2 linked regions of the Notamacropus eugenii genome follow. The protein of the gene in region 1 interacts with the protein of each later gene in a biochemical or structural test. Links are inferred from orthologs where the notes say so. Each region holds a gene or a part of one and is shown on either strand. Other genes may lie near its edges. The genes, in order: SMAD1 and ACVRL1.

What was found.
Region 2: of the proteins of SMAD1 (region 1) and ACVRL1, one has a biochemical effect on the other in vitro, tested with the Homo sapiens proteins (2 studies listed by BioGRID). The link is inferred for Notamacropus eugenii from reciprocal best matches to the Homo sapiens genes SMAD1 and ACVRL1.

What each region holds. Positions count from the first base shown.
Region 1 is NC_092877.1:142,387,199-142,402,585, forward strand, and holds the start of SMAD1 (mothers against decapentaplegic homolog 1), read left to right. Parts: upstream 1-8,964; 5' UTR 8,965-9,281; intron 9,282-9,316; exon of another isoform or gene 9,317-10,037; intron 10,038-15,387. UniProt on the Homo sapiens protein: Transcriptional modulator that plays a role in various cellular processes, including embryonic development, cell differentiation, and tissue homeostasis.
Region 2 is NC_092874.1:224,306,243-224,321,645, forward strand, and holds the start of ACVRL1 (activin receptor type-1-like), read left to right. Parts: upstream 1-8,618; 5' UTR 8,619-9,416; intron 9,417-15,403. UniProt on the Homo sapiens protein: Type I receptor for TGF-beta family ligands BMP9/GDF2 and BMP10 and important regulator of normal blood vessel development. On ligand binding, forms a receptor complex consisting of two type II and two type I transmembrane serine/threonine kinases.

The sequences.
Region 1 (15,387 bases):
TTCAAGGTCTTTTTCTGTTCTGAGTTCTACAAAAACTTATGGAAAAGAGAACTAGATGCAGCAGTATATTGGTAAAGGTTTAACAACTGGCTCTCTGGGGGGGGGGGGGAAGTATACATTACATTTATAATATATTATATTTAGTAGAAAATATTAGGTTGTTGTTGTGGTTCAGTAGTGTCCAACCCTTCATGACCCCATTTGGGGTTTTCTTGGCAAAGACACTAGAGTGGCTTGACCATTTCCTTCTCCAGCTCATTTTCCAGATGAGAAAACTGAGGCAAACAGGATTAAGTGACTTGCTCAGGGTCACATAGCTAGTAAGTATCTAAATCCAGATTTGAACTCAGTAAGATGAGTCTTTCTTATTTTAGTCCAGGTGCTCTATCCACTGCAATCACCTAGCTGCCTGATATAAAGGGTTAGTATATACTAAATAGTAGCTCTTAAGTTTAATCTGCATTCTTAGCATTTTCACCATCACTTTCTTAAGTCTAGACAATCAGCAAAACAAGAATCAAGTCCTGATCTGGAGTGTTTGTCAATTTCCAAAGGGCAAATATTCAGACTGAAACGTTAACAATAGACTCTAGGGAGATGGCTCCAGCATATGCCTGCCTGGATCTCTTTTCACTATATTATACTCGGTCCCTGAAATGGAAACAATGTGAAAGTTGCTAAAGACATCTGGGAAACAACTGTATTTCCCTGAGACTTCTTTGTTGCAGTTGTTTTACAGATTCATCCAACTCTTCATAACCCCATTTGGGGTTTTCTTGGCAAAGACAGTGGAGTGGTGTGATATTTCCTTCTTGTGTTCATTTTGCAGATAAAGAACTGGGACAAACAGGGTTAAGTGACTTTCCCAAGGTCACACAGTTAGTAACTATCTAAAGCCTGATTTGAACTCATGTCTTCCTGACTCCAGGTCTGTAGCTCTATCCACTATGCCATCTAGCTGGATACACAGATGGTAAATAAGCCATCAGCTATAAAAACTGAGACATCACAATAGAAGGATAATTTCCCCTAAGGAGGGAATGGCTAAACAAATTGCTGTATATGAATGTAATGAACTATTACTGTGCCATGGGAAATGATGAACATGGTGAATACAGAAAAGCTTGTGATGAATACAGAAAACATATATATAAACTGATGCAGAGGAAAGTAAGCAGAACTAAGAAAAGAATATACGGGTACTACCACAACAATATAAACAAAAAAGGAGAAATACAAGTAAAAAATCAGAAGTGAATACTGCAAAATTATAAAGAACAAGTATGGCTCAAAGGAAGAGATATGAGAAACTAGCTCCTACCCTTTTGTAGAGGTGGGACAGTCATAGGTCTTAGACATGGCATACATTTTCAGGTCTTCTCAATAGATGGAGGTTATTCTGAATTTTTTTCTTCTTTCTCTTTTTTCATTTTTAAAAAAATACGGTTTAAAAAAATACGGTATATGAGATAGCTATAGAGGTGTGTGGGAAGGATACTGGGAGAAATTATGGTGAGGCAAACATCTATAAAAAATTTTTTAAAAATGAAGATAAATACAAATCTTCTTTTATCCAAATTCATTGGAAATTTGATGAATTCAGTGTCTCCAAAGTCTCCAAAGTATTACCAGATTTGTTCTTCTGTAAGTTCTAGATGATGTCTGCCAACAAAGATCTTCATGGGATCTTTTATTCATGGCCACAGCATTCTGAGGGTCAACTATCTATCCACTCAAATTTTGGTCTTTATGATCTAAAAATGTCTCAACACTAGAAGATTCTTTAAAGCGGAGAAGTCCTTTAAAATCTCTTGACCTTCCTGTGGTAAGATCTTTATCATGCAATCCAGATCACTCCCAAACTTAGTGAAATTATCCTTCAATCATCCTTTTTTGTTGTTTTGCTTTTTGTTTTAGCTTGTGTCCTAGCTGAGGCCACCTGCACTCATTTTGCCTGTGTACTGCTCATATTTGCTGGCATTGATCTGGCTGACTCCTTTGCCCAGTGCTGATTCTCAGCCAGGACACACTCTCCTGCTTCAGCCTATGGTCATCACTGGTGGTGGCTTTATGGCAGTTCTTAGAAGTGGCTGGTCTCCATCAGGTATCGCTTTAGACAAGTCAGGCCCCTGCTCTGGCAGCTGAAGAGGGGAAAATGAGACAGTGAGCTTAGTTAGGGTGGGTTACATCTTAGAAAGGACAGGAAGAAATGCTCTTTGGTGACCAACCTTGCTAAGATGCAGTGGCATGAACCTGGGCACTTATATTTCAAATTCAAAAACTCCCCAGTTGTCTTTAGCTAATAATAAGTTAGCATTTATGTAGTGTTTTGAGGTTTGCAAAGAGTTTTACAAATATTAACTCATTTAGCACAATGACATTGAGAGGTAAGTGCTATTATTATCCCATTTTACAGATGCAGAAACTGAGGCAGACATCAGTTATGTAACTTGCCCAGGATCACACAGCTTGAAACTGCCTGAGGCTAGTTTGAACTCAGGTCACCCTAACTCCAGGTCCATGGGTGGTCCATTACACCACCTTACTGGCTGCTACTGTGATTACTACACACCAGGTATTTCCTGCTAAAGAATCTAAGAAACTGGACCAGAGGACTTTATATTTTATCCTAGAGCTAATAGCAAGCCATGGGTAGCTAGGTAGGGCAGTGGATAGAGTATTGCGCCTGGAGTCAGGAAGTCTCCTCTACCTGGGTTCAAATGTGGCCTCAGACACTTACTAGCTGCGTGACCCTAGGTAAGTCAACCCTAGGTAAGTCACTTCACCCTATTTGCTTCAGTTTCCTCCTCTGTAAAATGAGCTGGAGAAAGAAGTGGCAAACCACTCCAGTACCTTTGCCAAGGAAACCTCCAAATGGGGTCACAGACATTTGGACACAGCTGAAAAACACCTTAACAAATAGCAAGCCACTGGACTGTATTGAGAATTGGGGTGTTATGGTCAGACTTCTGTGTTAAGAAATTCATTTTGACTGGTGAGTAGAAAGACTTCAGGCAGGAAAACCAGCCAGAAGGGTGTTGTAGTAGTGCTGTGAAGAAGGGATGAGGGCTTGCACTAGGGTGGTAACTGTGTGAGTGGGTACAGATATAGATGTGAGTGGGATATAGATATAAACATATAGATAAAGATTTAGACAAGTTAGCCTCGTGTTTTGTCAGTAGAAGTGGAGGTCTTTAGACTTGGTAATTAAGACATCAGTGTTAACTTTGGAGAGCACAGTTTCCATTGAGTGATAATATCAGAAGTCAGATTTCAGATAGTTTGGAAGTGAATGAGAGGAAAGGAGTGTCGAGAATTAGTGTTGATGGCTTTCCCAAGGAGTTTATCCAAGAAAGGAAAGATATATAGGTCAAAAATTAGCAAGGGTAGCAGGATTAAACAAGGCTGTTCAAGGATGGTACTAGGGCACCAGGGAGGAAGTCAATAGATAAGATATTGATGATAAGAGAGAATGGGGATGATCATTGAGACAGTCTGATTTGGAAGAGGGGGAGGAGGGAAGTGATCAAGGGTACAGGTAAAGGGATTTACCTTGGCAAGGAGAAGGATCATGTCTTTTCAGAAAGAGAATGTAATGGGAGAGGATATCTAAGTGATATGAAAAGAGGAAGAAGAGAGAAGTTATAGCTCTAGAATAGTTTCAATTTTTTTCTGTGCAGTAGGAATTCAGTTCTCACCTATGAATATGGGAGGATGAAAGTATAGTGGAAAGCTTGACGAGAAACTAAAAGATTTGAAGTGAGACAGTTAATCAATTAGGGAGATGTGAAAGGATTACTCCAGCAGCTAGGGGGTGCAGTGGATAGAGTGACGCTAGGCAAGTCATTTAACCCTGTCTGCCTCAGTTTCTCACCTGTAAAATGAGCTGGAGAAGGAAATGGCAAACCACTCCAGTATTTTTGCCAAGGAAACCCCAAATGGGGTCAGGAAGAATTGGGTACAACTGGAATAATTGACCAACAGCAACATTAATGAAAGAATTGTTCTGCCCTAGTGAGAGCATTGTTGAAAGTATGGATCTGAAATTTGTATTGAATCTAGTTACCATGATCCCGTGATACTCATTTGCTCCATTTATCAATTCCTGAAAAGGAGCAAAGAAGGCTATGTGTGATGGCTCACACCTGTAATCCCTACTAGTAGAGAGGCTGAGTGATGGATGTCTTGAGCTAGGAAGTTCTGAGTTGTAGTGTAAATCCAATCATATATCTGCACTGCTTGGTATTAATACATGTGCTTTTTAAGTAATACTTAACTGAGGTCTCAGTTTCCTCATCTGTATAATGGAGAGGTTAGACTAGGTGACTGATCTCTAACTTCCCTCTCTAAACCTAAAATACTATTATCCATCTTCTAAGCACATAGCATCTACATTCTACCTTTCCAAATCATGTAATTGCACTACATTTTAAGAAAGACTTCGACTTTTCTTACCTTGTCCATCTGCATTTTGTTTCTCTATCCTGTCCCCATGATCTTCCTTGCTGATGTCAACAGGAAAGAAGGTATCATGGTATTATTACATGACTTGGACCTTGAAGATTTTAAAAGTAGAGATGGATTCATGGTTGAGGGGTGAGGCAGCAGTAGAGCATTCCAAGCAGAAGAAAAAGATGACTACAGCATTGATGGGAAAGGCAGTGCTCAGGAAATGGTGAGTGTTCCCAATAGGCTAAAACCGAGGGTTCTTAAAGGGGATACTGGATGAAGTTCATGCTGTAGGTGGTGTCAAACAAATGGAAATGGATGCCTGTGGATAGCATATTGACTTAAAAAACCACAAATTAACATTATTTATGCTTTATAGTATTCTTATTTATTTCTTAAACATTTCTCAATTACATGTTAATCTGGTTCAGACAGTACTCTGGAGATGGCATCCGAGCTTGACACCTGCTGTGGGCATTTGAACATTATTTGAAAGATTACAGAGTGCCTTGGAAGATTTCTTTTTAGGAGCAAGTGATATGATCAAAGTAGTACTTTTAGAAGATGATTCTGGTTATACACCTGTGAAGGATGGATTGGATTCAGGGAGGGACTGAGACAGCTAGGAGGCTAAGAGTTTAGACATGAAATTTTGAAGGAAAGGGAAAGAAGAGACACTGCTCAAAAGACCTTGGGTAGGAAAATGACATCTTCCCTTTGGGGAAAAGACCCATGCAACTGTTACCTTACGGGAGTCTAGCGAAATATTACAAATGAGAGGTCAATAATTTTGCTGCTAATTAAGAAATGAATACTTAGTGTTAGCATTCTGTTAGCAGGATGATTATTTGAATTAAAAGTTCCAACTTTTAATGATCAGCACAAGTGAAGTAGACCCTGGACTTGATGACTTGGCTTCACTTAATAATCTCTCAGGCTATGGCCATCTCTAAGGCTCTTTGATTTTATGACATCGTCTGGCCCATGTCAGACAATTTGAAGAAGAATTGATGTCACATGTTGGGTGCCCCAAAGGAATGCAATGACACAGGACATCACATCTAAATAGATCGATGTGAACCCTAAGATCCACACTTAACTGAGTTTTAAAGATGAGAATACTGAAGTTCTGTGTGACAGAAAAGATAAGAGGGTGGTAAGTAGAAGAGGAAACTCAGTATTCTATCTCCTCCCCATGTGCCTTTTGCAAAGGAGGTCTGTTCCTCATGCCTGTAAAGAATTCTCTCTTAGAATCCTGAGTTTCCTGCAAAGCTTAGTTCTTATTCTTCCAAGGTAGCTAGGTAGCACATTGGAGAGAGGGATGGAGTGAGAAAAAACTAGATTTGAAATCTGGCTTCAGTCATCCACTTGCTGTGTGACCCTGTCTGTTTCTGTTTCCTCATCTATGAAATGGGTATAATAACAGTGCCTATTGGGTTGCTGTGAGGCACAGATTGGGGAAGGTTGGCAACATTTCAAATACTCCATAAATACTAACATTGTTATCATGCTATATTCCAGCTTCTGTGAAAAGCTCTTCCTGTTCCCCCTCGTTGGTGACCTCTCTTCAAATTATCTGGCTTATACTTATTTGTTTCTATCTAGTATTTCGCCAAATGTCATCTTGAAGGCAACCACTGTTTGCTGTTTTTATCTTAGTAACCCCGGGAGTCTAACACAAAGCTTAGCCTATAGTAGGTGCTTGGTAAATACTGGCTCACCCAAAGGGAAGCGTCAATGGACAGTTCAGCAGAAAAAAATAATGACTAGAGAGAAAGAAAGATAAAGGAGGAAGAGGAAGAGGAGGGGGGAAAGAAAGGAGAAACAACAGAAGGAAGAGGAGAAGGAGGAAAAGAAGAAAGAAAGAGAGAGAAGAGAAGGAAGACAAAGGGGAAGGAGGAAGACTAGGAAGAGGAGGAAAGAAAGAAGAAAGGAAAGCAGGGAGATACATGGAAGGACAGACAGAAACAGAACAGGAAAGGAGCAACTCAAACTCTAATCCAGATAAAAGCAAATTTGGATCTTACCAATAACACCATTAAGTGGAAATTACAAAATGCATGCTGTTCGGAAAATATGAAATGATTGGTGTGAATTTTTACTTAGCTTTATTTGTTGAGGAACTGAGAAAAACATCAATGAAGGGATTTAAATTTTTAGAATTCAGAATTAAATGTGAAATTCTGACAGGCAGAAAGATCCTGGAAGGCAATTATTGCAAAGCTGTTGCTTCAGGAAAAAGCACCCCATAAATCTGAATTTCCAGAATAGACAACTTGAGAGGGATCACTTAGAACCATGAAAGGAGGCTTTTCACAGGAGCAGGGTCCTCCAGCTAAACTGGGTTCTTAAACTGCATCACTCTTATGGATCAAGGTGGGGAAAATGGGGAGTACATTGGGTGAACTTTTTGAGCAGAATCCCTGAAGTAAGTTCAATATGTGAATCCTTTAGTAAGTGTCATTATACGTGCATATCAACTTCATATCATTAGTCATCTGTATGTATAGAACTGTACTATAGCCACCTCTAGGCTTTCCCAGTAAAAGTGTTTTCAAATCTCCCCCCCCTCCCCCTCCAGTGGTTATCACTGCAGGATTCCTCTTAATAGTAGCTATCCTAGGAGGCCATTTAAGTTCAAACTAACACTTAAATGCACCTGGGACGCTGATATAAACACACACTTAAATGTAGCAATGGAGTTGCTATTTAAGGAAACACTGGTGGATCTTTTTGTAATGCATGTAATCCACTAATTTTTCTAATTTTTTTTCATTCAATCATTCTTTGTCTTTATGTAAAGGCAGATATTTATCAATAGCTGTATACAACAGTGAGACCTTGGGCAAGGGATTTCCCCTCTGCAGATCTGGCTTCTTATCTATAAAAAGAAGGGAGGCTGGGCTCCAGATCATAAGACTAAAAGGGATTCTATTTTACCACCACTAGTCCACTCCCATTTTATCAACTAGGAAACTGAGGCCCAGAGTGAGGAAGTGATGTGCCCAAAATCAGACAGTCTAGAAGATATTGCTTATATCTGGGAGGTGAAGAATAAAATAATTTTGGAAAAGACATAGGAATGTCATATGGAAGACTTCTGCTTGGCTTGCATGCAGAAAACTTAGACCAATAAATGGAAATTATGTAGGAAGATTTCGGGCTTAATATAAAGGAACAGAGCTATTTTTAAAAAGTAACAAAATGTAATGGAATATTTTGAGAGGTCACAGAGGGAAGCAGAAAAATACTGTTGAAGTGATCTACCACCACTCTTTCATTTTACAGATGAGTAAACTAAGGCCCAGGAAAAGAAAGGGTTAAGATCAAATGCCTGGCCTTGTGCATAGATAGGATTGGAGCCCAAATTTAGAGTTCATTTAGTTCAAATTTAGAGTGCATTTTTGACAGAAATAAATGACGAATTCGGAGGGTCCCTTTCAACTCTAAATCTTAGGAACTGCAACACACTTTTTATAAAGTGCCTACTATGTGAAGGACACAGGCACTGAAGGTACAAAAATATAAGGTGTAAATCCCGAGTTTCCAGTTTACACTCCAAGAATGTATATAGGTAAATACAAAGTTAACACAAGATAATTTCTAAAGGTGAATAGCTCTACTTTAGAAGACGGTTCCTCATTAACTGTTTTGAAAGAAACCAAAGATTTTAAAGGGTGGAGATGAGTAGGGAAGCCATAAGAAAGCTTCATTTTAGGTGAGTAATGGGAAATAAATGGAAAAAAAATGAAGAAAAGGAATTCCTAAGTAGGAACGGAGTGTTGTCCTTAATTGCAGTGGCCGGTTGTTTTTAGCATTTATTTTGTTGTGAATACACTTTTTTTGTTAAAAGCTAAACTCAACTAGGGATAGAGCTCTCTTTCTCCCCGTAATCTTGGCCAAATTTATCTATTTATGCTTTGTATCCAGGGGGTGGAATTCAAGACCCTTGAGGGTAGGAATTGGTTTTTGTTTCGTCTTTACTACTCCAGCTCTGACGGCTGAGCCTGGTACTTAGAGGGCAATTAATCTTGGAATAGATTGGGTCTCCTTCAGGTGATCGCTTTAGTTCCCCAAGATTTCATGCCAGCTTCCAAACTCGTGACCAAGAGAAGTGCTTCTGATGAGTAAAAATGCCATTTTTTGGGGTCTAGGAAGCCTAGGTAAAGCCTCAAGCTGTTCGGTCATCTCCGAAGGGCTTGCCAGTGGGTTAGAAAAAATGCCCTCCAGTCTGTAGCTTTTGCGCTTTCTAAAGGAATGTCTCCTTTGCTGCCATGCATCCTTACTTGGGGTCTGAAAGATTAAGTGTTGAAATAAAGGGGTTCTAGATCTGGCACAGAACTAACCTAGTGACTTCGAGGGCAGACTAAGCTAGGCAGCCCTCGTCTGGAAAGGCGGTGAGCGACTAATTCTGTATGTTTTATGTGCCCTTGGGAGTTTATGGGGCCTGGAAATGGTGGGGGGAAGATGGGGAGCGGAGAAAGAGCGTCTTGGTTGTTGAGTTTAAAACCAAACAGAAAAGAAGAACCCCCTCGCAGAAGGAGGACCCAGGACGGGCGGGGGGAGGGGAACGCCAGTTTAGAAAATAAAACTCTCGGCCCTGAACTTTACTGGCAAAGACCATCCACGCCAAGTCGCTCCGACTAGGAGAAGCAAGCAGACTTGCAGAACGACCCGACGCGGCGTTCTAACTGCACACCCCCTCTTTTGGAGGGGCCGGGGGGAGCTGTCCCCAGAGTCCGTTCCCCCGCCGTGTTGGTCGGGGGCCCCTAAGGCAGAGGCCTCCGCCTCCGCCGCAGCAGCAGCTGTTGCTTCCGAGCGTGCTCAGCGCGGTAATTTGGAGAGGATCCCTAGTCTGGGGTGGCGGTGGTGGAGCGTTTGTGTGTGAGTGTGTGTGTGTGTGTGTGTGAGTGTGTGCGCGCGAGTGTGTGTGTGTGTGTGTGTGTGTGTGTGTGTGTGTGTTGTGTATTGGCAGTGGAGTAGTGGAGGCTGGGCGGCTCCGACTCCCTGACGCCAGCGAGACCAGATCAATCCAGGCTCCGGGAGAGGGAGGGAGGGAGAGAAAGAGAGAAAGAGAGAGAGAGGGAGAGAGAGAGAGGGAGAGAGAGGAAGAGGAAGAGGGAGAGAGGGAGAGGAAGAGGGAGAGGGAGAGAGAGGGAGAGGGAGAGAGAGAGAGGGAGAGGGAGAGGAGAGAGAAGGAGACAGAGATAGGACGAGGGGGAGAGAGAGAGAGAGAGAGAGAGAGAGAGAGAGAGAGAGAGAGAGAGAGAGAGAGAGAGAGAGAGAGAGAGAGAGAGAGAGAGAGAAGCGAGAGGAAGAGGGAGAGAGGGAGAGGGAGAGGGAGGGAGAGTGAGAGGTAGAGAGAGAGAGTCAGAGACGGAGAGAGAGAGGGAGGAAGAGCCGGGAGCGAGCTAGCGGGCGGCGCAGGCTGCCCACTGTGCGGCGGCCGGAGCCGCGGGAGCCGCGGCCGGAGCAGGAGCGAGGGGAGGCACCGGCGGCCAGAGCTGCGGGAGCCACGGCAGCAAGACCACGGCGGCGCGGCCGGCGGTGACTCTGCGCTCGCCTTTGCGGGGCGCGCCGCCCACGGGGTAAAAACCGAGGAACCCCCCGATCCCCGAGACCCCAACTTTCTCTTCCGGACGCTCCGTCTCGCTCCCTTCCTTCCCAGCCCCGGAGCCGGACTCAGGGTGGTGTGGGGGGGGTGCCGCCGTCCGGGAAGGGGTGGGGGTGGCTGAATCCTGGATGGCTGCAGTCCCGGCCGCCCCCTCCCCACTGACCCCCGGCGGCCCTCTCTCTCTAACCCCCTTTCTGATTTCAGACTCCCGCCGCAGCGCCGGGATGGCCCCTTGGGGTACGTGGGCTTGGGGGAATGGGGCTTTTTCTTCTCGGGGAGAAGAGGATGGAAGGCCCCCCCCATGATGGCGTCGCCCGAAGCTCTTAGAAACCTAGGCCCCCCCGGCCCCCGCCTCTCCCCTCTCCCCTGGCCGGCTGCAGGGGTGCGCTTTGAGCTTCCAACTTTGCGTTGGCGTCTTTGTTGGGCCGGGGAGGGGGGCCGCCTTCGCTGCCTCTGCCCTGGCCGTCCCGGCCTGCCCAGGCCGGCTCCCCTCGGGCTCCTGGGTCCCTGACTTTGCTCCCGCTTTCCCTCTCCCTTCCTTCGGGGCGCCCCTTTGTGTCCTGCGCCCGCAGAGCGGGGAGGGGGCGGCCAAACTTGTGGGAGTTTCAGGAACTGCCTGGCTGGGTATGTCTCGTGTGTGTGTCTGCACACACACACGCACGCTCACACTCACACTCACACACACACACTCTTTTATACGCATACTCTCGATCTCAGTTTGTCCGGAGTGTGGATCGCTGAGAAGAAAGAAAACTCAGCCTTTCTCCGGCCCCCACCCCCGCCCGTTTTCCCTGTTTTCCTTTCTGTTCCTTTCGTTCAATCTTTGGGGTCGAGGTCAAGGAAAGTTCGGACCCAAAGTCTCTAATGTATTCCAAGGTTTGGTGGAGGATGATTCTGCTTGCCTTTCCCCCTGGCCCCCCCTCCCCCTTTTCTTCCTCCCCCACGCCCGTGGATCCCCCTGGACCGGATCCGATCGTCTCCCTCCGTGTGTATTGCGAAGTTTGCTCGTGAGCAACTGTGTCATTTACTGTCTCCCAAGCCTTTGTTAGTGTTTCCCTTAGTAGTTTATGTAAGGGGGGTGGGGGGGAGGGAGAGGGAAGACTGAGAGAGAAACGTGGGCTTGTTTTTCTACATGCCTAATATATGGGAGCATTTATAGGAACAGGGTTTTTCCCTTAGGTGTATTATGGGAAAGAGGAACAAACGTTGGCCGACTTTAAGATGACCACGACTGCAGAAATTTTTTCCCACTAAATTTTGAAAGGTGATGTGATTGAAAACCTTAATTTCCTCGGAGGCTTGGTCCCGAAAACCAAGGCCCAGCTCCAAGGTCCAAGCGAAGCCAGTGGCTTTCTGATCTGCCATGAAAATTGGCATGTTAACATTTGGAGTTTTGGTTTTTTTGTCTTGGACCTGAAGTTAAAAATATAGAACAAAATATGCAAAGTGGCACGATTTGGGCCTGCCTTCCTAGATGTCTCTGAAAGAAACTCTTAAGTAGCAGGATCAAAGAGCAGCTTTCTATCCGAACATGTCTCTTTCTAATTGGTTTTCAGGGATGGCATGCCCACACTTCGGTAACACAATGAGAAGACTGTGCTGTGATATCCATCTTGTTTATTTATAATTACCACTTTACCTTTTATTGAAGGCTGGTGAGCTCTAGTGGAACCAGTGTTTTTAAAAGGAATCTAGGTTGGATCAGGGTTCACTGCATCAACGTTTCAGTTGGCACCGGTGTTCTTTGCATCACTGCCATTTTTGTCTGTGGGTATTGGGCTTAAGTATATTATACAGACTCGAAGTGCTTTCTCTCACTGCATTCCCATCCTTTCCCATTTGGAGTTATTTGATATTTCTTTGCAGGTGATGTTCAGCTTGTAATATTGCAATTCTTCTGAAACTATTAACTAGGAGCCTCAGAGATGATTTTCTGGGGCTAGGTGATGCAGAAACCTCTAGAGAGGATCAAGGAAGGATTGAGTTACCCCTGAGGGTGGGGATTTGCCCTTGATTTAGTTTTGACCCCTCTAACCATAGGTATCTAACCAAATACATTTTTTTGTCTCTCAGTATCCTCTTTTATACCCTTGAAGATCTGATGACCACTGCACTTAAGAGAAGTGGTAGCTTCAGTCATTTAAAAATAAATAAATGTTGCCTTGTTACATTGTTACATTAGAAAGGTAATTGTAGGAAATTTTACAACACACCCAAGTTCAATTAATACATCTTTTTTTTTTTTAGAGGAGGCTGGGAAATCATATTTCCCTAAATATTAAAATAGGTGTATTTCTGGGTTAAAGATGAAATTTAATAGGTAAATGATTGGAAAGAAGGAATAAACTTGGGTGTAATTAGCCAGACATATTTAAACTGCAGCAGCCTGTATAATACAGCCCAAGTTGTGTATTGTGTGTGTATAAAAGGGCTCATTTGTGTAGTCTTACAAGGCTAATGGAGGCATCATTGAGCTTTATAAATAATGTAAGTTGTGTATAATGTAGAGTCCCTAGAGACTGCAGAGAAAGCATCATTACCAGCCTTTTCAACCTGCTTGAGATCTTAAATTGATTTACAGCACTGAACTGGTGCAAAATGATACATCAGGATGACATGGGGTCAGCCTGTAAAAGTCTATGATGTCAGCCTATTAGTTCAGTCATCATAATTAAACCATATTACAGGAGCAGCTAAGCTGGAATTTGGTATTATACTTCAGAGATGAGTGTTATAGGCCCTTTTTTTTTCTTTTTTATGAAAAAGGCCCCAGACTCCCAGTAACGCTTCTTTGTGTTTCTAAAAGAGTAAAAAAAAAAAAAAAAGACTTGATAGTACATTTTTAAATTTATCAACTGTGGTTTTACAGAGAATTTCAAGGTTGAAATGAGATCGCTTTTTGAGCAACTTTTTCTTTAATACTCAAGATAACTGATGCTGGGAATACTTGAATCATCTCCTCCCAAACTGATTTGGGTACCACATCCCAGAATTCCTAAGATCGCAAAGGATATGTACTACCTAAGACATCAGAGAAGATTAGAGAGCAAAGTGAGCATCTCTTTACATTTCTCTAGCCCTCCATCCTTCTCTTGTTGCTAGGTTTCTTTTGTTTTGGGGGTTAAACTATATCTGCTATAACCTGACAGGAAACTGCTTTATTTCTCTTTGTACTAGACTTAAATTGGTTGGCAAAGTCTTAAGCAGAAAAAGAAATGTTTGACTTGACTGCTTAGGCAATCCAGGAGAAAAGAAAACAATCTTTGATTGGATTGTAAGCCAGCTCTTAATTATTCAGGCTTGTTATCCAGTTTATGAATTATCTAGGTCCTTGGCTTCTCCTTGGACTCTCATTTATTTCTTTTCTGGCTAGGCTCTCCTTTAGAAGATGTTTAGGAAGTGATAGCAAATGCTAATTAACTTTATTATTTGTTAGATGCTTGATTTGTTGGGAGTGCAGATGGAAGGAATCATTTGGGCAACGGAGGATTTGTGAGTTTGGAGATTTTTTTTTTTAATCACTGTTTTCCTGGTCCCGGTTTGTCAGAATTTGATTTTGGGTGAAAGTGTTTGTCCCAGCTTAGCTTTCTGAATAGTTTTTTCAGTCCTATCCATTTACCAGTTTAAGAACTAATATATGTGTGTGTATGTGTGCGTGTGTACATATATACACATATATCTGGGGGATGCACTACTTGCTTTTCTTTTCAGTTGGCTAATGTTCAAATTTAAGAGAAGCATAAATAGGATGGCAAATTTAAAGCAAAAGGGGAAAAAATTCAGAGCATCCAAAAGCTCAAATGATTTTTAAATTATTTTGTCGTTTGAAATGTCATTGTATCTCCCTCTTTATTTTGCATAACCTGGAATTTATTGTGCTGCGTAGTAAGATCTCACTAGTAATATGTTGGTGTTGAAATAGTTATCTGAGTCTCTGAGGGGACAGGCCTTAAAATTTGTGAGAAAGAGGTGTTTCCATGACAATGAAATCTTTTTAATTCCTCTTTGATTATCTCTGGTCATCTTTCTATATTACAGACATCATAGGATCATGGAATTTTAGAGCTGGAAGTGACCTCATTTTACAGATGAGGAAACTGAGTCCCACCGAGAGGAGAAATGTGGGTTATGCTGGTAGTAAGATAGTAAGTAGCAAAACCCTGCTTTGACCTCTGTCCTCAGAAACCTCTTTTGCTCTGTAGTACCACTACTTATCTCGTTTTATGGATGAAAGTGTTTGGGGTGTAGAGGTGCAATGACTGGTCCATTTGAGGTGAGGTCATGTAGCTAGTTAGTGTCATAACTGATCTCAGAACTCAGGGCTCTGAACTCAGTCTAGTTCTCTTTCATTATCCTGTGAGCTGCTGAGATTTTCCTGCATCAGTCCAGCACAGTTGGGGGGGGTGGGGCAGGGGAAGACAGGGTCAGGAAGTCATTGGCACAACACTGTTCTTTTCTCTCACATGTTCTCATCTGAGAGTCAGGTCTGACAACCATAGATCTGTTTGTTTTTTGCAAATCAAAATTGATTTTTTTTTTCCAAGAGGGCTGGTGGAAAAGGGAAAACTCTGCATCCATAGATCTGTTTGTTTTTTGCAAATTCAAATTGATTTTTTTCCAAGAGGGCGGGTGAAAAAGAAAAACCCTGCATCTAATTCAATCAGTGGAGCATTACTGGAAGATGGGAGATCCGAGATTTTACATGTTAAAATGAGATCATAGCAGGGCCATGCCCTTTAGGCGGCCAGGTCTGAGGTACAGAGCAAGGCTTTATATGCACTTTCTTTTGGGGTTTTTGCCTTTCAAAGAGCCAGAACACATCTGTTCTATTCTTAGCTGAAAAGTGAAGACTGTGCCTTTTTGGGGGAAGGAGGGGTGGAGCGGTAGAGGTGAGAAGAGAGAGGATGGAGAAGGAAAAGTGGTCAATCTAATTTAAAAGCTGTGAAAATGTACATCACTAAAGGGGATAGAAGATTTAGGGTTAACGAATTAGCCTCCGGAATGCTACTTTTATTTGTGGTTTGCTCTTTCATACAGAGATTGTCAGGTTGGCCTTTCTGCAGCAGCAAATGGGTGATAGTCTCCTATGTGTGTGTGCCAGATTGAAATCTCATTGCTTTCTTCCTCTCCATTTTCTGTAAGTGGCCTGAATACAAATGTCCAATTTGACCTAAGTTGCCAGTCCTCTCCATTCGCCAGGTTGCATATCTGATATGTTTTTTATTACCCCTATCCAAATAGCTGTGTAATACAAAATAACCTAACACCCTCCCCCCTAAATGAAAAGAGACAAGGTCAAGTATAGGGATCATTCTATTGTAGAT
Region 2 (15,403 bases), on another chromosome or scaffold:
TGGATGGGGGAAAGATAGGAGAGAGGGAGAGAATATAGAGCTCAAAAAAATTGTTTTGAAGAATGTTAAAAATAATATAAAAAGAACATAAGTCAATACTAAATATCTACAAAAAATCAATGGAATCACTAGAGTGGGAAGAAAGTGTTAACAATTGAGGGAGATCAGAAAAGGTCTCGTGGGGGAGAAGGCACTAGAGTTGAGCCCAGAATAGAGATAGAGATGACAATGGAGGGTAGGGTGTGCAAAGGCATTGAAATGGAAGATGGAATCCTATGCATGTCAGTTTGGCTGGGATACAGGGAATATGACTTGGTGCCATCTTGGGTTTAAATATCAAATAGAAGAGTTTATAGTTCATCCTAGAGAGAAACTATAGGGAGTCACAGATGCTTTATGAGTAGGATAGTGAGACAATAGGAACTGTGCTTTAGGAATATTTGGAAGGATAGATTGGTTAGTTGGGAAAATGGAGTCAGGGAGTCTAATTAGAAGGCTACTATAATGGTCTAAATAAGGGTAAGAACAACAGTGATATGTCCAAAGGGCTACAAAAATGTGCATACCCTTTGACCCAGCAGTAGTGCTTCTAGGACTGTATCCCCAAGAGATCATTAAAATGGGAAAGGGTCTCACATGTACAAAAATATTTATAGCAGCTCTCTTTGTGGTGGCCAAAAACTGGAAACCAAAGGGATGCCCATCAATTGGGGAATGGCTGAATAAATTATGGTATATGAATGTAATGGAATACTTTTGTGCTATAAGGAATGATGAACAGGAAGACTTCAGAGAGGCCTGGGAAGACTTATATGAACTGATGCTGAGTGAAAGGAGCAGAACCAGGAGAACTTTGTACACAGCAACAACCACAGTGTGCAAGGAATTTTTCTGGTAGACTTAGAAATTCATTGCAAAGCAAGGACTTGAATAATTCCCAATGGTCTCTTAAGGCAAAATGCCTTCCACATCCAGAGAAAGAACTATGGAATTTGATTGCAGAATGAAGCAGATCATTTTCTTTTGTATTATGTTTTGGTTTGTTTTATGATTTCTCCCATTCATTTTAATTCTTCTATGTAGCATGACTAAGGTGAAAATGTATTTAATAGGAATGTATGTGTAGAATCTGTATAAAACTGTATACTGTCTCAGGGAAGAAGTGGGGAGGTAGGGGAGAAGGGGGGAGGGAGGGGAAAAAATCTAAGATATATGGAAGTGATTGTAGAATGCTGAAAGCAAATAAAATAACAATGAAAAAATAAATCTAAATTTAAAAAAAAGAACCAACAGTGATAGCTATACAAAGGGAGACAAGAAGGTAAATGCAAAATGTGTTGGGGCGATAGAATAGACAAGACTTGTTAAATGACCAGCTATGGTAGCAAGAGAGGGTATCCCATAAGACTTCGTGGTTTGATGATGTTCACACACTTTCTGCTACGTCCAAATCATTGTGACCCTATTTGGGGTTTTCTTGGCAAAGATACTGAAATGGTTTCCTATTTCCTTCTCCAGCTCATTTTAAGGATAAAGAAACAGACAGACAAGGTTAAGTGACTTGACCAGGATCACATAACTAGTAAGTATCCGAGGCCAGATTTGAACTCATGTCTTTCTGACTCCAGGCCAAGCACTCTAACCACTGTACCACCTAGCTGCCTCGTGAGTCCTGAGTTATTTGAAGGATGGTGTGCCCTTGGCAGAAATAGATTAGGAAACAGAGTGATTTTAAAAGAGAGTGAATTTAATTTTGGATGAACTGAGTTTGAGATACAAATGAGACATCCCATGATGTCTAGCAGATAGTTGGTAAGACCAAGAAAGAGATATGGGCTGGATATGTAGATCTGTGAACTATTTGCATAGAGATGAATTGAGTCCATGGGAACCCATGAGATTACTAAGAAAGAACAGGGTCCAGGATACAGACTTAGCATAGATCCTCCCATAATAGGTAGGATATGAATAATAAGCCATCAAAGGAAACTGAGGAGTGTTCAGATGGGTAAGAGAAGAACCCAAATAGAGAAATAACATGAAGACTCAGCAAGAATGCACAAGGAAGGATGGGTTGGCAAAGTATTGCAAAAAATCATCGAGGATGCGGACTGAGAAAAGGCTATTGAATTATACAATTATGTTGTCATTGGTAAGCTTGGAGAAAGCTGTTTAAGTCAAGTGAAAGGATCAGAAATTAGATTTTAAGGAACTGAGGAGTGAATGGGAGGGGAGGAAGGAGAAGCAAGGGCATAGATGACTTTTTCTAGGATTTTGGCTCTGAAAGTCAGAATATAACATTTTTATTCACATTTTTTATAGTTAATTTGGGTATTAATAACAGTCAAAATGACTTATTCTCTCAAATTATTAAAAACAATACTGCTGTTACTGTATACAGTGTTTTCTTGGTTCTTCTCATTTCACTCTTCATTATTTTGTGCAAATCTTTCCATGTTTTTCTAAGATCATTGGGCTCATCATTTCTTAGGATGACAGTTTGAGAGGATAGTAGGAGTGAGTGATATTTCTTTGAAGGACGTGGAAGATCTAGGCATGTTTGTAGGCAGGAGAGACAGAGACAGAGACAGAGAGAGAGAGACAGACAGACAGACAGAGCAAAGATTGGAGAGAGGAGTTATGATGGAAGATATCAACTCCTAGAGGACACCAATAAGTTTCCAAGTTCTGTCCATTTTCCTTACACTCTTTCCTCTACTCACATGACCACCCTCATCACCTCTCCCCCCTAGAGTCCTCTAATAGTCTCCTAACTGTTCTTTTTGTCTCCAGTCACCCCAAATCTTATTAATTTTTCACCCAGCTGCCAACACAATCTTCCTTATTGATGGGTCGAACATCTTGCTCTTTCACTCAAGAATATTTATAGTCTCTTTATTGCCTATAAGACAGTTAGAGGCAACATGACATAATGGAAAGAAGACTAGTTTTGGAGTCAGAAAACCTGAATTCAAATCCTATCTCCTATAACTAACTAGTTGTTAACAACTAACTTTCTAGTTGTGACTTTGGACATGTCATTTCCCTAGATCCCCTGAAAGGTTTCAAGGGGGTTGTCTCTTTTCCAGTACTATCAGCTTGAGCCCCCACTGGCTGTGTTCTCTCATTGTTTAGGACCAGTGATTGGCACTCTATCCATTGTGGAGTGATTAAATGGATAGTGTCTTACCAAGGGATATTTAATTCAAAAGATTTATTTTGCTTTAGACTCCAAGCTAACCAGCCTCCTCTTTTTCTTTCTTTCTTTTTTTACTTAACAGTACTTTATTTTTTCTCAATTACATTTAAAGATAGTTTTCAACATTCATTTTTGTAAGATTTTGAGTTCCCAAATTTTTCTCCCTTCCTCCCTTCCTTTCCCAAAACAGTAAGCTGATATATCAGTAATCTGATATAGATTATACATGTACAACCATATTAAATATATTTCCACATAAGTCATGTTGTGAAAGAAGATTCAGAACAAAAGAAAAAAACCACAAGAAAGAAAAAACAAACAAAAAATTAAAATAGTATGTTTCAATCTGTGTTCAGACTCCATAGTTCTTTCTCTGGATTTGGATAGTATTTTCCATCACAAGTCTTTTGGAATTATCTTGTATCATCATATTGCTGAGAAGAGCTAAGTGTATCACAGTTGATCACTGCATAATGTTTCTGTTACTATGCACAATGTTCTCCTGGTTCTGCTCACTTCACTCAGCATCAGCTCATATAAGCCTTTGCAGGTTTTTCTGAAATCTGTCTATTCATCATTTCTCATAGGACAACTGTATTCCATTGCATATATATACCACAACTTGTTCATTTGTTGTTCCTTCCACAATTGATGGGCATCCCCACAATTTCCAATTCTTCGTCACCACAAAAAGAGTTGCTATAAATATTTTTGTACATGTGGGTCCATTTCCCTTTTTTATGATCTCTTTGGGATACAGACTTGAGTAGTTAATCAACTTTCTCTGAACCACATGTTTATCCAGCTGGAACCAGTTAAAGTATTTCCACATATGATTCATAGTCTCTCTATGATACCTCCATTCACATTATCATGATTCTCTCAGAGGCAGAAAGCAAGATCTCCACATCTCCATGTGGGATGGTTCCATTAAAGTGATTCTGTCTATATTCCAGACTCCCATCGTACTAGAATTTGGGGCCCCTAACAATATGGCTTTAACCTACCTTTCCAATATTATTTCACTACATTCCCCTTCTCATACTCTGTTTTCTATGCAGACTAGATTAGTAGCTATTACACTGATCTCCTTGAGGATGGGGATTATTTCACTTTGGTCTTTGTCTTCTAAGCACCCAACACATAGTAAATGTTCAATAAATGTTCCCTTTGTCTTGCCTAGAATCAGGGAAAGCTAAGAGGTACCACAGTGTATGGTAACCCTGAGCCTAGAGTCAGGAAGTTGTTGTTGTTCAGTTGTGTCTGACTCTTCATGACCCCATTTGGAATTTTCTTGCAAAGATACTGGAGTGGTTTGCCATTTCCTTCTCCAGCTTATTTTACAGATGAGGGAACTGAGGCAAACAGAATTAAATGACTTGCCCAGGGTCGCACAGCTAGTAAGTGTTTAAGGCCAGATTTGAATTCAGGAAGACTTATTTTCCTGACTTCAGGCTGGGCTCTCTATCCATTGCACCACCTAACTACCCCTAAAGTCAGGTAGACCTGAGTTCAAATCCAACCTCAGATATTTACTAGCTATATGACCCTGGGTAAGTCACTTAACCTCTGCTTCAGTTTCCTCAACTGTAAAATGGGGATAATACCAGCACCTAGTGCTTGGCACATAGTAGGAACTTTATAAATTCTTGCTTCCTTCCTTCCACCAATACTTAGGTCTCCTGACTTCAAATTCACAGTTCTTCTCATTGCAACAGAGTTAAAGGGTTAAAAAAGGGAGGGGAAAGGAGAGAGAATAGGGATAAATTTGGGACGAATAATGGAAGGCCCTGAGATAACTTCTGGTGAATGACAACTTGGCACTTAAAGTGAGAACGATGTAGTGGGAAGAGAATCTGGGCTGTATTTCACAGACCAGGGTTCAAATCCCAGATGTGCTAAATAGTCTTCTACTTGGGGTAAACCAACTATTCCCTTTGGGCCGGAGTTACTTCATCTCTAAAATGGAGGAGGGGAAGGAGGAGGATTGAACTAGTCCAAGGTTTATCCCAGCTCTGTGTTAAGAGTTCTCTAAATATCTTGTGCTCCTAGATCTGTTTATTTTACTATTTCCATTTCGTGTTGTATGTGTGTCTGATTTTGACTTTATGAGCTCTCTAAGGCTCGATATGAGGCAGGACAACTGACTGGCTTCTCCTATACGAGAAGAGGGTAGAAGCGGCTGGTCACTTTGGTTTAGGAAAACTGACTCCTGCAGAGTGGGTCTGGGCACCCTATGTGAAAGGGTATCCCATTAAGTGGGCATGTCTAGGGAGTCAAGACCAGATCTAAGTGAGGAAAGGAAGGACCATGGATCCAGTGGAAAGAAGTCAGAAAATGTAGGTGTAAATACAAGGTATAATCATGGCAAATCACTTCACCTATCTGTAAAATGGGTATAATAATGCTATGCATCTACATAGCTCACAGGATCATCATGGATAAATTATGCTTTAACTATACAAATTTGAATAATGATCCTTTATTAAAGATTATAGGAAAGAATAGGCAAGACAGTCAGGCCCTATCCTTGTTCACCAGCTCCAAAGAAGAACAATGCTTGGAGATCCCAAGATGTAAACAGTAGCTGGGAACAGAAGAGGAAGATGACTCACTGGCCCTTTGTCTGGCATCCCCTGTTGCAGGTCTACCAGTCCCTTCCTGAACTTCTAAGACCATTAACTTCTCCACTCTCTGCCCTTCCCCCACTCCCCCCATTCCAGTACCTTATACATCCTGTCAGCTGCAGAGAGAGGGGCTGGGGAAACCAGGGGGTGCCAGCTTGTCTGAGATAGATGACATCTAACGGGTCACTTCATCCATCCTTCTGCCTTGGAGTCCAGGACCTAAATCTCCCACATCTAAGTTTTTGTTCTCTGTGATAAAGAATCATCCTTCCTCATATTTCAGCCTTTCTCTCAGTCCCAGTTTCCAACTACCTGCCCCCAATCTTTAGCTCTTTCCTCTTTGGTCACAGGTCTTATTCTCAGTCTCTGTGTCCCTCCTCTGATTACTCCTCATGACCCCCAAAGCCTCCATATCCCTCTGACATTGTGAGGTCTAGGACCAGATACAGAAATCTCACCTGGTCTAGGATGGAGATTCTCCTTCTCTAGGTTACAGCACTTATTGGGAGGTTGGGGCAATTACAAGGTGGATAGCAGAGAGTAGAGGAGGAACAGTCAGCTAAAATAATGGTACATAGCCCATTAGGGACCTCTCTTGTCCTTGGTATCTGGCACCAAAGCTGTAAATTAGCCCTTGGAGAATGGAAAGAAGGAAGGAAGGAAAGAAGGAAGGAGGAATGAAAAGAAGGAAGGAAGGAAGGAAGGAAGGAAGGAAGGAAGGAAGAGAGCTTCTGCTGTCAAGGAGTTTACATTCTAATGGTGAAAAACATAACAGAAAGCTAGGAAAAGGGAGTGTAAGGAGATATGAGAAAGAAGTTTGGAGTATTGGGAGTGGAACTTGAAGAGGAAGGGGAATGTGAGCATGGTTGGCCTTGGGCCCTTCCTTAAAATGGAGCTTCTGGGAGGAACTGCTAGATCAGGGGAAGGGGCCCCAGGAATCTTCCTGGGTTGAGGTTTTCTGGAGCCTGGTAGAGAAAGAAGTCTGGAGAGTCAGAGCCTAGAGGAATGGAATTAGAGTCAAAAGAACTGAGTTCAAATCCTGGCTCCATTCCCTCTTTACTCTCTATAGAACTTTGGATAAGCTACATTTCTGTGGGCCTCACCTGTACAAGGAGGGGTTGGCCAAGAAGCTAGTTACTAACCAATTTGGATGACCCTGTCTAGCTCTGATAAGCTGTGAAATCTTCTCTGAGTCAGCGCCCTGAGTGACTGTGGATCATTGGTTCACACATTTCAAGCTGGACAAGGCCTCAGAGGTAGTCTAGTTCCAACACTTCTTTTTATATATGGGGAAAAGGCAGCCAAGAGAGCTTGAGAGACTTGTTTTCCGGGAGCTCACAATCTAGTTGGGACAATTACAGAAGACATCCTATAATTAAGGGCCAAGCTACTCTGATTAAAACACTAGCTGTTGTTAGTATTCAGAGGAGTGAGGGATCCATGAGACCTCCTCCACCCCTTGGCGATTTAGCCCCATCTTTGTTCCCCTTCCCTTCCTAATGCAAAGAGGACACAAGGAAATTTCCCATCTAATTCTGGCTACAAATGCTTTCTAATTCATCACCCCCCCACTCTACTCTGCCTCTATCATGCTCCAAGTCTGGACTCAAAATGACAACTCCCTCTCTACCCTCTCCCACCTCTCTAGCCTCAGACATGTATTTCCTAGGTTTTAAAATCTCACTTCCCAAGCTCCCTTGGGCCCCTGCTCCCCTGTCTCCTGCCTGACTCAACTGGGAAGTTCTTCTGCATGTCTAATCTCAGTATCTGCCTTTGGCCTGCTTCCTCCCTGGATATGGGGAACAGCTGGTCCCTCTGAGCAGTAAATCGTTGTAGACTTGGACACAGATTCTAATTCCTTTCCCCTTTCTTCAGAGGTCTGACTTTTAGCTCTTTCCCAATCCATGTGTCACTGAACAGAAGACTGTAAACTAGGTCAGCGATGGCTGATTAAAATGGAGAGAAGAGCAGAGACTCTGAATATCTCTCACCTCCCCACTCTTATCCCAGCCCTGTCCTTCCCCTTCAGACCTCTGATCTACTCTTCTCCAAAAAAGCCCTCCAGGAAGAGCCCTTCTGAAAGACTTTTCTTTCCCCTTTGCCCACCAGCTCCACTACCTTTAGATGCTTAGCATTCCGTCCTTGTTTCTCTCTCCCTGTTGCTTCTTGCCTTAATTTTTCCACTTTGATTTCTTTTTTCTTAACCCTTGCTATATCTCAAACAGGTTCTGGAAATTCATAGTCTTCACAACTGATAATAACATGTCAACAGAGGAAAGGAAGTCAGTCACCAAAGGAGCTGAGATAAAGCAGAAGCAACTCAATCCTTGCAACTGTTGCTTAGCCAGCTTGTGGTACCCTTTGATTCCCAGACCCTTCTCTACCATTACAAAGAGATGGCCCAATCCCACCTCATTTGGGGAACTCCATTTATTTTTTCCCCTTTGTGTTTCCTTATGCTCCTTTGATGAACCCCTTTCCCAACAATGGTGGAGAGCAGGGAATAGGAAAGGTTAGTCCCAAGAGGCTCACTCTGGTTCCTTCCCGGTGACTACCCCAAATTTGGAACGGACTCGTCCCAACAGGTATGTCTTGGCACAGACTTGAACAAACCCTTCCAACACCCTTGAGATATGACTTACAATTTCAGGCCTGAGCTACTTTTTCCAGAATCTCTCACTCCCCCACTGCTCAGCCTGGCTCCTAACCCTCTCACTGGGGACAGCCTTAAGGAGAGAATAGATTATAATCCATTTTTTTTAAGAGTTAAAAAGAGCATTGGAGAGTAAGTACTCCTCATTTTATAGGTTAGGATATGAAGCACAGACAAGCGAGCTAACTTGTCGGAGGTCCCAGAGCCGGGCTATTCGTTCCTTACACTGGGATGCTTGCCTTGAGCAGCAGAGGCTCTGGACCCCACTACCTCACATGGAGCAGCTGGGCTTTTGGAGCTGATGATGATTTGCATTTGGTGACTCCAGCCCCCAAAGCGGGGGCCCTACCCCCCCACTTCATCCCCATTCCCGAGCAAGGCCAGGGAGCTGGAGCCGGGGCTGGGCTGGGCTGGAGGGAGCAGCGGATGTGGGAGGTTTGTGGAGGGGGTGCGGGGGAGACCGGAGGGAATGGTCAGCTGGCGAGGAAGAGAGGGGAGGCGGCCCCATAAACAGGGAGAGAGCAGTCCCTGTAAACGCGTTTGGCAATAGGAAACGGTATATTACAGGGGAGGGAGTGGCGGAGTAGGGCCAGGCAGGAAGAAGCTGGAAGAAGACACTTTACAACTCCTGCCTGGTCTTTCCCGAGTGCCGGCGGGCCGAGCAAGCGGCCCCCAGGGCTCAGCGGGGCTGGAGAGGGGATCGAGAGCATCCCCACCCTATCCCCGGGCCCCCAAGGGCCCCAGGACCCCAGCGAGGGCCCGGCGGCAGAGCATCCGCAACTCAGATCCAGAGGAGGAGGAGGAGGAGGAGGAGTCAGGGGTGTCAGGGGCGTGGGAGGAGAGGAGCTGGCCTGAGTCCACACCTCCCCCTTGTCCGCCACCCCCCAAGTCCCAGGGCTGCTAGCCCTCTGGCTACAGCCTAGGGCAGAGCAGGGAGGTGAGTTGGGGTCAGCCCTTGGGGAGTAGGGAGGGGGAAAAATTCGCTGATTTCCAGGCGTGAAGCCCATATTGTGATTCCAGGATGGGATATCCCTATTCCCAGAAAACCTCGGCCTTATAATTGGAATTCCTATGACTTCCACTCCATAGGCCTAAACCTCTAATCCCTAGTCTATAACTCTGGTCCCCAACACATAGGGATCACTAGTTAAATAATGTTGTTTAGGTAACCCATAGGCTCTGAACTTCCCAAGATCATCCTTCTCAGTTGCACTATCTCACTCCCAAATCAGATTGCCAAACTACACCTTCTAGATTCCCCCTCCCCTGTTTACCAGCACCAATATGTTGATTTACTGATTTGCAAGGGTAGATGGGCTTTTCCAGTGAATAGATGCCTCTTATCTTCTAAAGCGTGGTCCTGGGACTGAGCTCTCTGGATGACCATGTTAGTTTCTTGAGTCTTTCTCCAACTCTCCTTTCTACAGACTTGGTGTGACCCATCTGTCCTCTAAATATCTGATCTCTTCATCACACCATTTCCCTCACTTTTTTTTTTTTTAGCACTTTTTGGTAACATGTCCCAGTTCTAAAGTGTATATAGTCTTTTCTGCATTGATTTAGTTGAACTTAATTATCTTTAAAGACCTACTCTGTGCAAGCTGCTGAGGGTACAAAGGTATGATATTAATCCTGCTTTTAAGGACTTTGTGATCTAAATGGGGAAGAGTGGAAGGACAATTATATAAGCAGCTATGATATAAGGGGGTGTGAGATAAGTGCAAAGGAGAATCCTGGTAAGGTGTCATGGGACACTTAAGGAGGAAAAGAATCAAAGGAGGTTGGGGGAGGGGGTGGGGACAGTCTCAGGGGAGATTTCTTGGAGGATGTGGCTTTGAAAGAAGAGGGGATTAAAAGGCTGGAGATAGGAGTAGAGGTATCCTTTTCAGGCATGGGGTATGATTAAGAGTGAAGGGACACAGATGAGAGCCAGCAGGTAGAGAATGGGAATGGAGAGTAATCTCATGAAGGAAAATAGTATGAGATAAAGACATGTGGTACAGATGTTGTAGGCAGAGGTGCCTATTATATAGGAACCAGATTAAAATGTAATTGGGGAATGTTTAACAAAAATAAATTAAAATACAATAGAACATAGATAATGTTAATTTGTGGTTTTCTAAGTCGATATGCCACCAACAGGAAGAATTATGCATGATTTAATAGTGAGTTTGCATCACTTTGCAAAGGACCTTAAATAACAGGGCCAGGAGGTTTTATTTTATTTGGTAGGTGATGGGAGCCACTGAAAGTTTTAATGTAAAGGAATAAACTGGAAGTATCCTGGGGACCTCAAGTAAGGCTGCAGAATCTTATCAGGAGTTCCTTTCTGTTCCATTGGCTCCAAAGGAGGTTTTTCTGAAATATTAAATCCCATGTATGTGGGCAGAATCAAGTTGGTCTCTACCACAAGTGATGACCCTTTCCAGGACTGGAAGTTCTGGCCTCTTCTTGACCTTTGTCTCAGTTAGGTCTTCCCCTAGATTTCAGGGCTCTTGATGGGTTGGACCCCCAATCTGACCCCATAACTCTAACCCCATAGCCACAACCCTTTTATTGCCAAAGGGAGTATGATATCTAAGTCAAGTCCTGACTTAGACATTTACTAGCTATTACCCTTTCTCACCTTCAATTTCCTTATCTTTAAAATGGGAAATGGGAAAAGATGATCTTGGCTCTAAATTCTATGCTCCTATGGCCCTCCTTAAGAGACAGTCCTTTAGGGGGCCAGCATTTCTGTTTTTTTCTTCTGACTCTCCTGTAAACCCATTCCCTGCCATCTTGGGACACTCCCCTTACCCTACTCTCCCTGACCACCTTGGCTCTGTAGACCAACATCTACTGTGCATACTGTCTAGACCATTATACTTCCTCCCTTTTCCTGAAGAGATGATAATATATGCTTGTTTGGGCAAATTGATCTTTCTCTAAGGGCAGTTTAGGACTCTACCCAGAAAGGACCATGTTGTACGTCTACTTAGATGATGAAATCTGTTTCTTCTTTCTTCTGTTTAGTAATTAGCCCTACCCAGTGCCATATCGTGTTGTAAGGTTTTCCCTTCTTTGACTCTGGCACTCTCAGGTGAGGGATGATCTAAAGGGAGGAAGAAATATGGAATCATAGTTGGTCATATCCAAGTCTTCTGCATTTTGCCTCCATAACATCTCCTGCATCTGAACCTTTCTCTCCATTCCCATGGCCCCTACCCTAGTTGAGGACCGCCATCATCCTAGTATGATTGCAGCAGCTTTTTAATGAGGCTCTCTGCTTCCAGTTTCTTCCTTTCTCCAATACACGTTTCATAGAGTTTGCAAAAACAATCTTCCTAAAGTACAGGCCTTATGTTTGCTCAAAAATACTCTAGTGGGTCCCTATTTCCTCTGGGATAAAAACTAACTCCTCCAACTAGCATTTCAGCCCTCCCCACTCTGGCTCCAACATGCCTTTGTAGAGATCTCATATTACCCCCTTTCACTCATTGTACAGTCAAGCCAAACTGGCCTGCTAGTGTTCCCAAAATTCCATCTGCTGTCTTTGTGCCTTCCCACAGACCTTCCCCCATGTCTGGAATGTGTTCCTTCCTCTTCTCTGCCTCTGAGAATCCTTAGCTTCCCTAAACTAGCCTGGTATAGTGGATAGAGGGCTGGACTCCAATCCTGCCTCAGTACCTGGGGCAAATCACTTCACCTGTGTGGGACTTGATGACCTCAAAGGTCCCTTCTAACTGTAAAGGTTTAGTCTGCCTGAAGGGGTGAATTGAGAGTGGATCTTCCATGAATACTCCTCCAGTTTCCCCAATGTGCTTTTAGCCACTCTGAGAAGCACTGAGGGGTAGTGGAAATACTTCTGGAATTTCAGTCAGCAAGTTAGGATCCCACAAAGATTCTATAGAGCCTAGGTGTACTGGGAATGTTTAACAACATTGTGTGTGTGGGTGTGGGTGTGTGGGTGTGGGTGTGGGTGTGTTGGGGGAAAACAAATGTATCCAGATATACTTTTAAGTTTAATCTACATTATTAAATTTTCTCCATCATTTTCTTAAGCCTGAAAACCAACAAAACCAATAAATCAAACCTTGATTTACAAATTAAGCATTTGCCAACACTCACATTGAAAATCTAACCACCAGCTCTCTCAACTACCTCAGCTCAGGTCCCATTCCTTACACAAAACCTTTCCTGAGCACCCTGGTTAGTGCACTCCCCATCCTCAAATTCTGTTGTACTGACTTATTTGTGTATATTTTGTACTCATGGTGTCTTGCACTTAGGAGGCACTTAATACATTTGATTTGATAATAGGTTTACCATTGGAAAGGACTTTAGAGAGATCATCTGGTCTTACTCCCTCATTTTAGGATCCGTGCCCACTGAAAGTTCCCAATCTGACCAAAGGAGAAGGGAACAGGCAAGAGAACAGGCAAGCTCTTCAACCCCCAAGACTCTAACCTCTAATCATAAAACTGATATTGAGGGAAGCTACAGGCCTTGTCCGATCTGATCCTTCCAACCAATAAACCTTGGAAGTGGCTTCTCTCCATTTTACAGAGAAGAAATCTGAGACTCAGAAAGATTGGGCTAATTATCTACTGTCTAAGTATCTGAATCAAGTCTCAAACTCCAGCCTTCTCATTGGAAGTCCAGTAGTTTTACCACTATTTCCTGGTGCTTCTGATAGAGGCTAAAAGCATAAAGAGATTGGGGGGAGGCAGTCATCATAGAAGACCTAGATCCAGTCCCCGTTCACCCCTTCAGGCAGAATAGAACTGTAGGTGGGTGGGCTTTTGATTGTTAGAGGTATGATGCATTTTTTTTTTAAATCTCAGTTCTCAAGGCCTAAGGCTGAAGTCCCGGGGTGAGAAGAAGAGGGGTTTGGAATGTGACTGTTATAAAAGGATTAGACATTCAGGCCTGGCCTTGTCTCGTCTGTTTCAATTATTAGTCTCTGAAATAGAGGCTTTTCCTGTTTAGCTTTTGGCATCAGACCAACCTGAGCTTGATAGCCTTTTTCTGAGATCCACTTCAAATCCCCTTGCTTAAGTCTCCTATCCCCAGAATCACAATATCTGCCCCCCCAGCTGTTGTGAGGCTCCAATGAGATAGCAGATGTAAAGCACTTTGCACATCTTAAAGTGCTATGTAAATGCAAGGCATCATTATTATTTATTATTATTATCATCACCCTCAAGTCTGGAGATGACTTTATTTTCTGAGCCTTCTACTACACTCCTGCTGAAATCAAGCTTGTTTATAAAGTAATACAGAGATATGCTAGTAAAGATTTAACAACAAGGCTGGGGGGGGGGGGGGGTGGGAGTGGGGGAGAAATACAGGGTATGGGAGAATAGTGCTTTTAGATTTAAAAAACTTTTCGCGCTACAACACCAGGACATGATTAGTGCAAATATGGCTATTATCATTTTGCAGCTGAGGAAACTGGACCTCAGAAAAGGAAAATGACGTACCCAGACCCATGTGGCCAATGTGTTTAAGTCATCCTCTTAACCTAGGGCTTCTGACCCCAAGTCTGAGAATATCTACCAACATCCACTCTCAGGAATGTTTGCTGGGCAGTTTTAGCAGCTTCTACACATGTGTGTGCATGCACACATGCCACATACAAGCACACATATGACCCACATACATGCACACATGTGAAACACACAGAGATACACCCACAGCCCTAACCATCTTTACATATCTACACACATCCTAATACTACTATCGGGCTACATCCCACTTCCATTTAACGCTCCTCCCTCCGTTACCTAATCTTTCCTTGAAACTTTTGACTTGCCCACCTGCTGAGTCCCAGCTCTGCATTTACTAGCTGGGATTGTAAGCAAGTGATTTCCCTTCTCTAATTATATATAACTATCCCACTGGAAAATAAGGAAGTTCAGCTAGGTGACATGTAAGGTTCCTTCTGGCTCTAACAATCTATGGCTCTATCTTCACCCAAACTCCCCTCTACCTCCCCAGCTGTCCCTATAGAAAGACCCCAATCATGAATTAATAGCACCAGCCCAGGTAAATGATGATCCTTCTCTACTAGATGAGAGTCCTTTGATTGAGGGCCAAAAAGATGTCTCATCCTCCACCTCACCTGAAAGTTATTCCTTGAGTCTATCCTCTGAAAGTGAAGTGATAAGAAAAGGGAGGTCTAAGAGACATAACTGAAAATGAAGGTGCAGCTCTAGGGCCCATTTCTTCCTTCAGCTGTTGGCCTGAGGTACAGGGCAGGGTGAGGCCAGGAGGAAACAGAGGTCCCCCAGCGCAACCAGGAGTACTGGAACTGCCCCCAGTGTGGGGAGTGCCTGCTGCATTCAGGGTTAGCCTGCCTCACTTCATTCTCCATACAGAAGGACTCTTCTTTTTCTACAGACAGGAAATCCTCTCCTGGTGCTTGGGACCCCTGGGTCACTTCCCAGGACACATGTGGACCTTCCTCAAAGAAAATCTCCTCCCTATTGAATCTCCATCCCTCCTGCTGCAGTCTCAGTCCAAAATTATAATTCATCACAGGTTACTTTGTATAATTTTCAATAAGATTCATTCATTCCTCTAGCTACTACTGGTTTTGGAGTCAGAAAACCTTGGGTCAAATCCTGGCTCTGCTTCTGAGTGGTGTATCCCTTTTACATCTGGGCCTCAATTTCCTCATCTGTAAATTGTTGGGATTGGAATAGGTGATTGGTAAAGTCCTTTCCAGATCTACATCCCATGACTTAATAACTCTGTGAGGCAGTTGGAGTATTGTCTCCATTTTAATAGATGAAGGCAGTGAGGCCAAGTGATCAGTCTGTCAACAATTAATTATTAAACATTTATTAAGAGTCTACTATATGGCAGACCCTGTGATATATGCTGGAGATAAAAAGAGAGGAAAGCCCCTGCCCTCAAGGAATTTATAATTCCATGGGA